Caenorhabditis elegans: one gene and its partner. The protein of the gene in region 1 purifies or fractionates together with the protein of each later gene. This does not show direct contact. Each region holds a gene or a part of one and is shown in the gene's direction. Other genes may lie near its edges.

The links.
Region 2: the proteins of mog-4 (region 1) and F42A8.1 fractionate together in Caenorhabditis elegans (co-fractionation; one large-scale study listed by BioGRID). This does not show direct contact.

The regions. Positions count from the first base shown.
Region 1 is NC_003280.10:14,558,591-14,563,472, reverse strand, and holds the start of mog-4 (putative pre-mRNA-splicing factor ATP-dependent RNA helicase mog-4), read left to right. Parts: upstream 1-1,873; 5' UTR 1,874-1,876; coding exon 1,877-3,199; intron 3,200-3,392; coding exon 3,393-3,508; intron 3,509-3,655; coding exon 3,656-4,121; intron 4,122-4,317; exon of another isoform or gene 4,318-4,487; intron 4,488-4,769; coding exon 4,770-4,882. UniProt on the Caenorhabditis elegans protein: ATP-binding RNA helicase involved in pre-mRNA splicing. Operates during embryogenesis.
Region 2 is NC_003280.10:9,340,621-9,348,258, reverse strand, and holds F42A8.1 (uncharacterized protein), read left to right. Parts: upstream 1-1,668; 5' UTR 1,669-1,693; coding exon 1,694-1,791; intron 1,792-2,317; coding exon 2,318-2,508; intron 2,509-2,896; coding exon 2,897-2,988; intron 2,989-3,843; coding exon 3,844-3,968; intron 3,969-4,984; coding exon 4,985-5,081; intron 5,082-5,616; coding exon 5,617-5,751; intron 5,752-6,326; coding exon 6,327-6,701; 3' UTR 6,702-6,862; downstream 6,863-7,638. Other genes in the region: ttll-12 (Tubulin--tyrosine ligase-like protein 12), read right to left, coding at 7,040-7,268, 7,315-7,512, 7,560-7,638.

The DNA.
Region 1 (4,882 bases):
ATATTTAGTTTCTCGATTTTAGTGAAAAATTCGAGAAATTCAGTGCAATTTCGAATTAAAATTTAATTTTTCCAAAAATTATGGTACAATATTTCTGAAAACCCACTCAAATATAGAAAAATATATGCTGATTCTGAATTAGTAACATTTGAAACTCAATCTCACGTATTTCATAATTTTTTTTTCGATTTTAATGAAAAATCTAGGAATTCAGTGCAATTTTCGATTTTTTTTTCAAAATATTTTCTCTTAATGTTTTTATAATTTCCAGATATTACGTTGTCGCTGCATTGGAAGATTTCAAGACAAAATTCGAAATAGATGCGAACAAGAAGAAGCTGTTCGAAGTATTAATAAGGAAGGTTAAGCAGCAATAAGTGCTCTTAAGGGCTCAAGTGCCGCAGAAGAAGCCAAAGAAAGTAGGACTGCAAGATCAACTGCTCAATCAGCCACTATTTGAGAAGAAACTACAAGTCAGATCGGTCCGAAGGCAATCAAAAGTTCCAAGCAGAAGAGGTGGAGCTCATGGAAGAGGTTGGAAAGCACAAGTCTGAAGTTCATGAAGCACTCGGCGATTTGGTGGATACAAGATGTGTGATCGAAAATTTCAAAAAAAAATCTGATCAAAATCTTTGAAGCAATTCCACTCAGCAACCAGAATATTGGATTCGTTTCCGAGGATAAGTATGTGGATTTTCTTTAAATTTGAAAATTTAGAAGTTGATTTTCAGGTGCAATGGTGAAGGAGCTTCAACATCGTTCAACGAGGAAGCCGTTTTCATGCCGTACCTGTTCAATTCCGTAAAAAAAAAGTTCGTCTTATTGCAAAGGAGCAAAACTTCGATGGAATTCTTGAGGTGTTACTTATTTTTTAATTTTTAAAAATTAAAAATTTCTAAATTTCCTAGAAATGCGACACGCTTCGTGAGAGGACCCTCGCTGAATTGGGAGCCCGACTCGTGGATCGAAAGTATCAAAACGTTGTGAAACTCTTCGATCGTGCCACGTTGCTCGGTAGCATGATCAAAAGGACGCCGAGAAGAAGTGATAGGATAAGGAGACGACTGCCAAGAAGATCAAGCCATGCTTGTTCTTTCTAATAATGTTCTTTATATTCCGTTCCTGTTCAGATTTTTTATTCCCCCTCCCCATTCGGTTAATGTTCTTCTCTCTCATTTCCTTGTTCAGCATATCTACTTAGTATCCCTCTCTGACGAGTTTTATATTGGTTTTCGAGACAATGAATGTTTTAAACGTTATATTGATGTTATTAAATGTGTTATTCAGTCAATCGGAAGAAAAACTAGATAAAAACAAACTATTCAGCTAAAATTCATCGAAAAAAGAGGAAATTTTCGGTTTTTCTCAGAAAATCAGTGGAAACATAATGAGAAACATAAAATATGCACTTTTTTATTTTTTAAATTACTATTCTGTATCACAAAACATTTTTTTTTCGACTTTTATTCGCTTAAATAATGAGAAAAGCGCTTTTAGCCAGAGCTGATATTAACGAATTGTCGTCAAATAAAATGCGCGTACGCAGAGTACGCAATAGTGTACAAAACTTATTCGCGTTGAATATTCAGTCAGCCAAATGGGACTACTGTAGAAATTTCTTCAGCCACGTTAGCTTTGCCTCCCCGTGTATCCGAAATTCCTCGGGTCTGCAATCCGACGTGACGGTGTTTGCACACAATTGCCGGCGCTTTCGAAAAATAATTTTTATTTATTTATTTTTGTTTTTCATAGATTTTTATGAGTTTCTCAAGGAGTTTCGAATTTTTTCGTGGTTTTCAACTAAAATTTTGTTGAAAAATCATTATTCATCACTTAATAATTTCAATTTTCCTGTAATTATCCAACTTTCCAGATAATGTCCGTGGAACAATTCATCAACGACCAACTACACTCAATCGTGGGTATCAGCGATCGATCAATATGTCAATACGTGCACGCACTAGCAAAAAAGGCGAAAAGCGCGCCGGATTTAGTGGAAAAACTGCGTGACGCCGGAGATTTTCCGATTTCCCCAGCGATCCAGTCATTCGCAGATCAGCTGATGAGTCGAATGCCCCGGCAGGCAACTTCAGCGCGACAACGTGGTCCGACAACAGCAGAGCTTGCCGAGCAGGAGCTAAACCGTCTGAATCGGGCGGTCGGAGTGTTGGAGGATTATTCGGCGAGCTCCACAAAAACCAAAAATGTCAGAAAAAGAAAAGAGAGCAGTAGTGAAGACGATGAAGCTCCGATTAAAGCTAGTAAACCAGGAAAATCTGTGAAACCTTCAAAATCCGACGATTCTGAGTCCGATATAGAGGCGATGGAGGCAAAGCTGGACGCAGATATCGCTGAAAGAGACGCCTTGGCAGCACGAATTAACAAAAAAGAAAAGGATAAAACTCGAAATGTTATGGAGAAAAAGCGAGATGATAACAAGGACAAAGAGGGTTCCTCCATGGACAAACTCCGAGAGGAGTCCAGAAGGCAGTACCTGAAAAAACGAAAAGTCGACAAGCTGGAGGAACTGGAGGCGATAGTTCACGATGATCAAACTCTATTCGCTAGGGAGAAGCTCACGAAACGTGAAAAAGCGGATATGGAGTACCGGAAAAAAGTTCTCGAATACACGAAAGCCCATGGAAAAGCCGGTGACGTCATGAAAATGAAGAGATATCATCTGCCGGACGCCTCAACGAAACAGATCCCTTCACAGTACGTGGAGGATGATGAGGAGGACTTCAGGCCAGGCGGTGATGGTGCAAAGTGGGAAGAGGAGCAGCTGATGGCCTCGATGCTTCACCTGGGAGCCAAGGATGCGAAGCGGAAGGAGCAAGAGTTTGAGCTGTTGCTTGATGAGAAAGTGGACTTTATTCAGGCTCTTCAGATGCCTGGAACCAATGAGGAAGTAGTAGAGACAGAAGCCGAGAAAAAGAAAATGTCAATTGAAGAAACGAGAAAGTCGTTGCCGGTCTACGCATTCCGTGATGCTTTCATCGAAGCTGTTAAAGAGCATCAAGTGCTCATTATCGAGGGAGAAACCGGATCGGGAAAGACGACACAGCTACCACAGTATCTTTATGAAGCTGGATTTTGTGAAGGTGGGAAGCGTATCGGATGTACGCAGCCGAGACGTGTCGCCGCAATGTCGGTTGCCGCTAGAGTTGCTGATGAAGTTGGATGCAAGCTGGGCACTCAGGTTGGGTGGTTTTTGGAAATTGGCGAAAATAAACTAAGTTTCATTCTAGTCGGAAAATTCCAAAATTTAGAAAAAAAAACTGGAAGTTAAAAAAATTTGGGCAATTCTTTGCCGCTTCTAAAAATTTTTAAACTTGTAAAAAAACGAGGAAAACAGATTCCGATTTTTCTTTCGAAACGCTTCCATTTTCCAGGTCGGCTACAGTATTCGTTTCGAGGATTGCACATCGGAGAAGACTGTCCTCAAATACATGACAGACGGAATGCTGCTCAGAGAGTTTCTCAACGAACCCGATTTGGCTAGTTATAGGTAATTTTTAGAACATTTACAAAAACAGCAAAAAAACCAAACATTCAGGATTTTTGTTTTTAATTAAGAAAAAAATCGATCGCTCTTAAATTTTAATCAATACTTCGAATAAACCCAAAAAAAAACGAAAAAAAATCCTGTTTCCAGTGTAATGATGATTGACGAGGCTCACGAACGTACTCTACACACGGATATTCTATTCGGTTTAGTCAAAGATATTGCAAGATTCCGAAAGGATTTGAAGCTTCTCATCTCTTCTGCAACACTTGACGCTGAAAAGTTCTCCAGTTTCTTCGACGACGCTCCGATTTTCCGAATTCCGGGACGCAGATTCCCGGTGGACATTTACTATACACAGGCTCCCGAAGCGGACTACGTCGACGCGGCTATCGTCACAATTATGCAGATTCACTTGACCCAGCCACTTCCCGGCGATATTTTGGTATTTCTGACTGGTCAGGAAGAAATCGAAACTGTACAGGAAGCACTTATGGAACGGTCGAAAGCACTGGGATCGAAGATTAAGGAGCTTATTCCGCTGCCGGTTTATGCGAATTTGCCCAGTGATTTGCAGGCGAAGATTTTCGAGCCAACGCCGAAAGATGCGAGAAAGGTAGATTTTTCTTACAAATTTTTTCCAAAAAAAAATCCGAGAAAAATCTACAAAATTTCAGGCAAAAACTGTTTCATTTTATTCCTAACTAGTTTTTTAGCAAACGTTTAGATTTAACAAAACTGAACAAATTTGAAGTTTTCCAATTTAAAAAATAAATGTTTCGGAAAGTTTATTGAAAAATCTGAAATTGCTATCCTCTCGTATCTGCAAAAAAAACACTTTAAAAAATGCTCTGTTCTTTGAAAATTTCTAAACTGAAAAATTTGAAATTTCTGAAAATTGTGATAATTTTATAAAATTTTATAGAAAATGTAAGCATTCCAGAAAAATATCAAAAATTTCGAGAAAATTCTGAAAAAATCCAGAAATATTAACAGAAAAAAAATCTTTTGAAACATCTGAAAATTAAAATAAATTGAATTTACATTTTTTTTTTTGGGATTTCCTTAAAATCACTATGAATTTACCACTAAATTTTTTGCAAAAAATTATTTTTTTAATTTCAAAGAAAAAGCAAAGAATTTTAAAATATCAAAAAGTCCAAATTTGGTTCGGTGAATTTTTAAAATAACATTTTCAAGATAATTTTAAGTTAATCAAAACATTCCACGCATTTCTAGTTTCCCAAATTTCTCTAAATTTCAGGTGGTCCTAGCAACTAACATTGCTGAAACTTCAGTCACAATTGATGGTATCAACTATGTAATTGATCCAGGATTCTCGAAACAAAACTCATTTGATGCACGAAGTGGTGTTGA
Region 2 (7,638 bases), 5.2 Mb from region 1:
AAATTGATGCAAAGGGAAGAAAAAATATTTCTAATAGTTTTGTTTGTTGAACATTTGTTTTCTAGAACTATAGTTTTCGAGATACGTCAGTTTGAAGATACGCAATTTTGCGAGTTTTAGAAGATATTGCAAATGAATATAACCATTTTTGTACGTCAACATATTGTCTCACTTCTTTCTCTATAATTTTAACGGATTTCTCATGAACAAAAATGAAGTCGAGTAGTCAATGAGATTTCAACTCTTTCCTTTTTCCAATTTCCCCATCTCACTTCCGATCTCTCCGGAAACCTTTTCATCAGACTCTCCTGTCCATTGATAAATGACAAGTTGATTACACTGTTTTATTTATTGTAAATAAATCAACCTGATTGTTTATTTTCTAATGTTGTCCTATTTATTTTTTAAAGTGTCAGCAATCATTTCCTGCAAATAAGAAGACGTCAGTGTGTCTCAGAGAACGTTTTTTTCTGAATTGAATTTCATCTCGTCAGTGAACTACTGACACCTACACAACAAAATGTTGTCACGGTATATGTAGGTGGGCGGCAATTAGCATTTCGACCGGAGGAGAAACGGTTTCAAATATGCGTTTGGATGAAATAAGTGTCTAGGAATTTTTGGATGAATAATTGAGAACTCATATGTGAAAATCGAGGTGAGTTTTTGATGAAGAAGGCAGAGAATATATACAAATTAAAAAAACACACACATTTTCAAAGATGGATTATTTTGGAAATCCCATACTACAGCAGTAAGCCACATTCAGATTGAGATACGAGGCGCGTGTTCGGAGTGATCCTTCCACTGGAAAACGTGAAATTTCTTACAGGACTGATTGTGACGTCATATCCAAAAAGTTAGATTATCATATTTTCCAGAGCTCAAACGAGTCGAATGTGATATTGTGATAGAAAATGATATGCCGTTACTCCCAGTTGCTCAATTTTGGCAACTAATTTCTTTTTGGAATAGATGGAATCTCGGAAATTTCCGTTTTCTCAAAAGTACGTTCAATTTGAAGTGCGCTTAAATTTAATTCTTCACAGTAGAAAAGCTGTATCATACCGTAATTCAGAGGTGGCAGGCAGGTCCTAACTATAAGTTTTCATTTGCCCATCCAGTTTTATAGAGTGATGTTTTGAATAAGTGAGTAGCTCTAGTACGAATTGATAACTTTGAAAGGCATCATCCATAATTTTTGGGCTCCCTCAGCTTAGAATGTTTACCGAATTGTTTTGAACTATTTGGAAAATCTATAAATCTATTTTGCACCATCTGACAGCTTGAAAACTCATAGACCAATACACTGTATATTTTTAGCTCAATTTCCGGTAGTTTCCCCTCCTACACGCACTTTCACTGAAATGGTCATTTATGGTGTTCTTTCCTCCAGAAAACTTGTAATTTATGAGATATTTGAATAACAAAACCGGCGTAACTATGATGTATATCCCAATTCTTTTCCGCTTTTTCTTCATCTTAAAACAAACATTCAAGAGCGAAAAGGTGTTCCTAGAGCTCCGCCCACTTGAAGAACAATTGTCCATTTTCGGACGGAAAAGGGGAGAGAAAAGATGAAAAAAGTGAAAAAGAGAAAGAAGATGTGGGGGAGGAAGTGGGAGGAGCCTAGGAGCTACTATAAAAATCACCGAAAGCGGGGGAATTAGAGACAAAAGAAATTTTGATGAAAATGCAGAACAACTTGGTTCTACTTATCCTCTCGATTCTTTCAATTTTCGAGGTTTCGGCCTATTCAAATGTCGAAAAAGGAGCTGCAGCTAGAGCTAGGTTTGTTTTATTTTTTAAAGGTTCAGTGTATCCAAAATTTTCGAAAAATTAATCCTTATTAGTCTCAAACCTTACGATTTTCGTAGCAAATTTTTTTATTCTCAAAAAATTTGTTTTTGAAAGTCATATGGCTTCCATGGCTTCTAAATATGCCTTTTTTTGCCTACGTGCCTGCCTATGCCTATTTTTTATTTGGCATTAATTATAAAAATTTTTCTGGAGGCACGTATAAAACATTAAACCTCTAGTATCATGGTGGTTCAATTTCAGAGCCAAACTTCTGAGATTAGATATGAGGAATCATTTTTTCTAACGTATACATTGTATACATACTATACATAACAACAAAAAATCAAAAATTTCAAAATCCACAACCTAAATGTCTCACCGTTCCCCTTGTATTCCTTATCATCTTGTCAAGTTCATCTCATTGAACAAGACAACTAGCTACTAGTATCTATGGTTCTCAACGAAACTGAAACCAATTGATAAGAACCGGTTTTCAAAAAAAAAACTCCTTTTGCAGATGTTGGACAAGCGGGAACGGACGGCCAGCTCAATGGTGGCAGGAAGGAGACCAAGTGACACGTGGAAAATACTTTTATGAGTGTAGACGTGGACAGTTGGAGCCACTTGGATGTCTGTCAAGCACAGAGGAAAAGATTCCACTTGGACATACTTTCCAACAAGATAGATATGAGTTCATTTGCCAACTTGGTTAGTTTCGAGCATGGAAATTATACTGATCTGGGCAACTAGGCTTCTGAGAATACTATAAATTTTCAGTTGGAATTAAATTCAACTTTTTATTAGCTAGTTCAAATTCTTAATACCTACTACTCAGAATACCTAGTACTGTTTCCGTAACTTTTGGAGTCTTCGAGTTCACGACAGTGTTAAGAATAACTAACTTTCAAATTGTTAAAATATTTTAAAAGTAGGTATTCTCAAAATCGTGTCCATTCAAAAAAAAAACCATTTCTAATGTCTCTCATTCAACATCTTTTGTCGATTTGATCTTCTTTTTCCCCATATCATTGAGTACCCACATCTGATTTTGTAGAAAACGTATCAAATCTCCTTTTTTACGATTACTCTTTATCAGGAAGCGACGGTTATATCGAATTCGGCTACAGCGCATGTGTCGGCACAGATGGACGTACCTATCAAAAAGGAGAGACTTGGACCGATGCCAAGGTAAGAATGAGAGGAAAGTGAAAGATATTAAAACATGTGAAGAAAGTTGCAACATGTATCACATCCGGTGGGCGGACACACACAGTAGGGGGTTCTGCAATTTTTCTATTAACTTTTTAGTTGCCACTAAAAAAAAACGTTGATCAAAGTTTCAACGAAAGCTATAACATAGTTTTTGAACTGACCCAATTTTACTTTCGAAACTTCACTAATTTGATTCCAAACGAAAACTTTTTGACCTACAAATTCAAAAAGTGGAAGGCATAGTTTGACAATGCCGAGAAAAATCGCTGAAAATGTGGCACAATAATTAGAGATGAACTTTGAAAGTGTGATTTATTAAATTTAAATTGAGAGCGTGTTCGATGCAAGACTCATGCTTTCGTGCTCACAAAATTAAAATATTGTTAATCTACTTAGGAAGCACAAACCAATAGTTTCCAATAAAAACAAGTAGGCTTAAGGTAGGCACACAAACAGGTACTCTGATCGCCGATGTGCTTGCCCACAGTGATACCTAAAGTAAGTATAAGCTTGTTTTCTAGAGATCCCACATCCCATAGGTGCTATAGGCATAGGACAGATAACCGGCCTGATAATGTTTCTGATCCTTTGATCATTAAATGAAAAGAAGACATAATCGAATTGGTTTAGAAACCGAAAATTGTGTAGAGAAATTTTGAAATTTTGGTAGCTAATTTTCAATTTAATTTTAAACAGTTTGAGCAAGATCTAGTAAATTGATATTTAATAAAATAGAACAGACCCATTTGTCTTCAATCATAGTAGTATTCCAAGTTCAACTTTGACCACAACCCCCTCTACCCCATTCAACCACAAAAATACCTCTTCCAGAACACTTACTACTACCGTTGCCGTGACGATGGTCGTGTTGTCAAAACGACAATTGAAGGATGCATTGCCCATGATAAGCAACGACGTGTCCCACTTGGTCAGACAGACGATTTCAACGGATACACGTGAGTTCGCTGCCCCTAAATTTCGCTCAATGGCTTATCTCCGCTTATCCGTTGTTTTTACCGACATGGCGCCGCCAAGAAAAGTGTAAATGATAGGGTGACATATGATTTGAAGGCCACCCGAAATTTGAACACACGGGAGACAATATGAAGTGACACCGGTCAGACGGTTTAGCAGAAAAACGAAAAGGCAAAGAGTGGTGAAAGACTAAAGAATGAGTTTAAATAGATAGTGATAGAGATTGACTGATAGGGTTTTGAAAGATTGAAAGTGATAGATTGGATCTAAGGATCAAAATTGAACTGAAACCCAGATTACCTAATTGAATTTAAACTAATAGGAAAACTAGGGGACATTAAAACTGATGTGACAGCATTGTCAATTCAAGAATTTCCAACACTAGGTGAATCTGGCAGGTAGGCAAGAGTTACACGTGCCTGCCTTCGTTTCTGACGAATGCTTATTTCCTATTTGAGCGTAAAGTTAAGGAATTGACGGTTTCACACTATTTAAAACACTGAAGCTTGAAATCTAATCTTTGAATGCAAGAGATTGGCGGTTTCGCAGTAGGTACGAGGTAGGCGTAGGTTTTTCTGAAATAAGACATGTGGACTAGTGCTATCGAACGTATCATAATCTAAATTACAGTACTCTCGGGTACATTTTCGGTGATGAAAGATCAAAAATGATAATTCAAATCCTGTTTTTATGTCCTTTCAATGTTTTCATAGCACTTGGAAATTAATTGATATCCTGCAACCTTCAAATCCACCGTAATCCTATTTTCTCCCAAGTTGTATTTTAACAACTTTTTTAGTTTTTTTTTTCATTGATAAGGGCGACGGATATGGCGAGATTATGTGATAAAGTGACAAAAAAAACGGGTCACTACGAAAATGCACTCTTTTATATCTTATCGGTTGGTGTCTACGAGATACTTGAACTTTTGCGGTAGCAACTTTTTTTTTTAAGTTGAGACTTTGAATTCTGAAGAGTATGGAAAAAATATTTTCAGTTATAAATGCCAACAAAAAACTACTGGAGTCGTTCAAATGTGCAGTGTTGGATGTATTCATGAGGGAACTCGATACACTGTTGGACAACAATACAGAGTGAGTTTTACCAATGAGTTTGGGTGGACAAGCCTTCATGACTCGCCTACCACCTATTTATATTTTTTCATAGGCCGGCGTAGGTCTTCTGAAATGTAGGTAGATATTTTTGTGCCTACTGGGATCGGGATCTACCAAGCCCAATGCATCTGTCAAAATAATTATTTCCTAGTAATTTGAAACGAAAAAAAACGAAGGCGCCGAAACTTCTAGAACTTTTCTCTTTTTTTTGAATTTCATTTCATCCATTATCAATCATTTCTCCCGGAAGTCTTCCAAACCCAATTTGAACCTTCTAAACATGTTCAAATCAACATTAAATCAACTTGTCCAAGGGCGTGCCCCTGCAAAATCCTGCGATTTTTGAACATCAAACTTTTCACGAAAAAAAAGTTCTGAAGATGAAAATGATAACAACAAATCCTAATAGGAAGTACATACCTTAAAAATAAGTTTTGAAAAAAAACAGAAAAAAAACAGATTGATGAAATAGATAACATCATCTTCTTATTAACTTGTATATTCTCGTTTTCAGGACGGAGACTACCTCTTCTATTGCAAGTTGCAAGGTGGAAAGTGTACGAAGCAGTGCATCGGATGTGTTGCTGGTGGACAAGACTTGTATGATGGACAACGGTACAAAAGAGATGGAACCACTTATCAGTGCGAGGTATGTTTCCGGTCAATGACTGTACCAGTGGGGACAGGAATCAGTTATTGGATGCTTTTTTTCTGGACAATAGGTTTAGACTGTTAGGGTACAAAACACATACAACAGTGAACGTTCAATGTGAAAAAGAGAAAGAGGAGAACGAGGTAATTGGGAAACATGCAAAAGAAGGTGATGAGAATGAGAAAAAATAGAACGGGAGATCAATGGAACAGTTCTGAAATTGAAGTTTTCAAATATGAAAATGATACATTAAGGAACTAAGAATTAGGTGTCCCGAAATGAATCCAGACGTTAGGAAAATCTCTACTTTGGCAGCTCATATCTCGGTTAATTTCAAATATTTCAAAAAAGTAAATAACATCAAAACTGTAGAAAAAGGACTAATCTGCATATTGTCAGTTGACAATTTTTGATAAATTTGGTAATTTACCAAAACTGTGACTGAAAATTTTGAAAAATCTGAAATGTTTTGTCATTTTGAACTATAATAAGTTTATTTAAACTAAATCCCTACTGACTCTTGGAAATTAAATATAATATGTACATCCAAATATTCAACTTATAATTTCCAGATCCGTCCAGGAAAACGAAGCCACCGTGCCGTCGGATGCTCGATTGTTGAAAATGGTCGTGACATTAACAAGGTGATCGGATGTAGATGGTATGAGCAGAACCCAGACTGGAAGATCGAGAAGACCTGCGAAACTGACGGAGATAACAAGACAAAGGTCACCACAGTTGGATGCATCTATAAATACAAGGGATTCGATCGAATTTTCCTTGAGCCAGGAAAGTACACAATTTGGAATCTTCCAAAACAAAAGGATTCATCAGTTGGACTTGCTTGCCGAAAGACTGCTGACGGTGCCGAGTTGGTGATCTTCGATGTGGCACAGTTGGAAAGGAATACGTCTGGACTTAAGTACGATTTGCCACGTGGCAAATAATCACGTTGTTTTGACTAGGTGACCACAGCGAGCTTTCTCTTGTTATTGTACCCCCGAGAATACGTGTAATTTTGTTGAAATGTCGTGAGAAATAACCTAATAATTGTGCTTCTTCTATTTCTTTTCTGAAGTTTGATAATAAATAAAGAATAACTATATTCATAAAGGAATGCAAATTTTATATAAAGAAAAGAGGATCATAAAATTTCCACTGGAATACGAGAAAACACCGATGAAAACGTGAACACGGTGAAGTTTCAGTGCCGAAAATAGAATAAGTTAACAAAAAATAATATAACAATCGTAATATGGAAGAAAAAACAAAAAAGAACACGAAATTAGATTGGTGTGACTTTGGTTGGATCGATTTCATCCAGGAAAAGCGTCTCAAAAACAGTGTCAGCAAAATCTGGATAATACTGGCATGCTCGAGTGGTGTCCGGCATGAAATTAATCTCGAGGAGAGTGGATTTGATGACGTCATTGTCTCCGTGTTGAAGCATAATATCAACACCGTACATTGCACGGGATTGGACATTTGGAGCAACTCCTCGTGGAGCTTCTTCTCTGAAAATGCAAACATTAAGATATTTCTAAACAAAACGAAACTTACTTTGCAGCTGCTTCGATTGCCTTGCGAATGGTTAAATTGATATCTTTCTGTACTTCACTCCATTGAATCCTCGGATAAGCTTTTTCAATAGTTTCAATAAAGTTTTCGCATTTCATTTGAAGAATTTTCTCTTTGTCCAAATAATTGAATACAGTGAAATGAGTCTCCACATCCTCGAAGTTAGATAAACTGAATTCGCTGAAAAATGTAAACATTAACTTTGAATTCTAACGGTGATAACTAACTTAATAGCGAATCGAATCCAGAATCTATTGTAGACGTATGCAGTAACTGGTGCAATTCCATTAAGGAAAACGATGTATC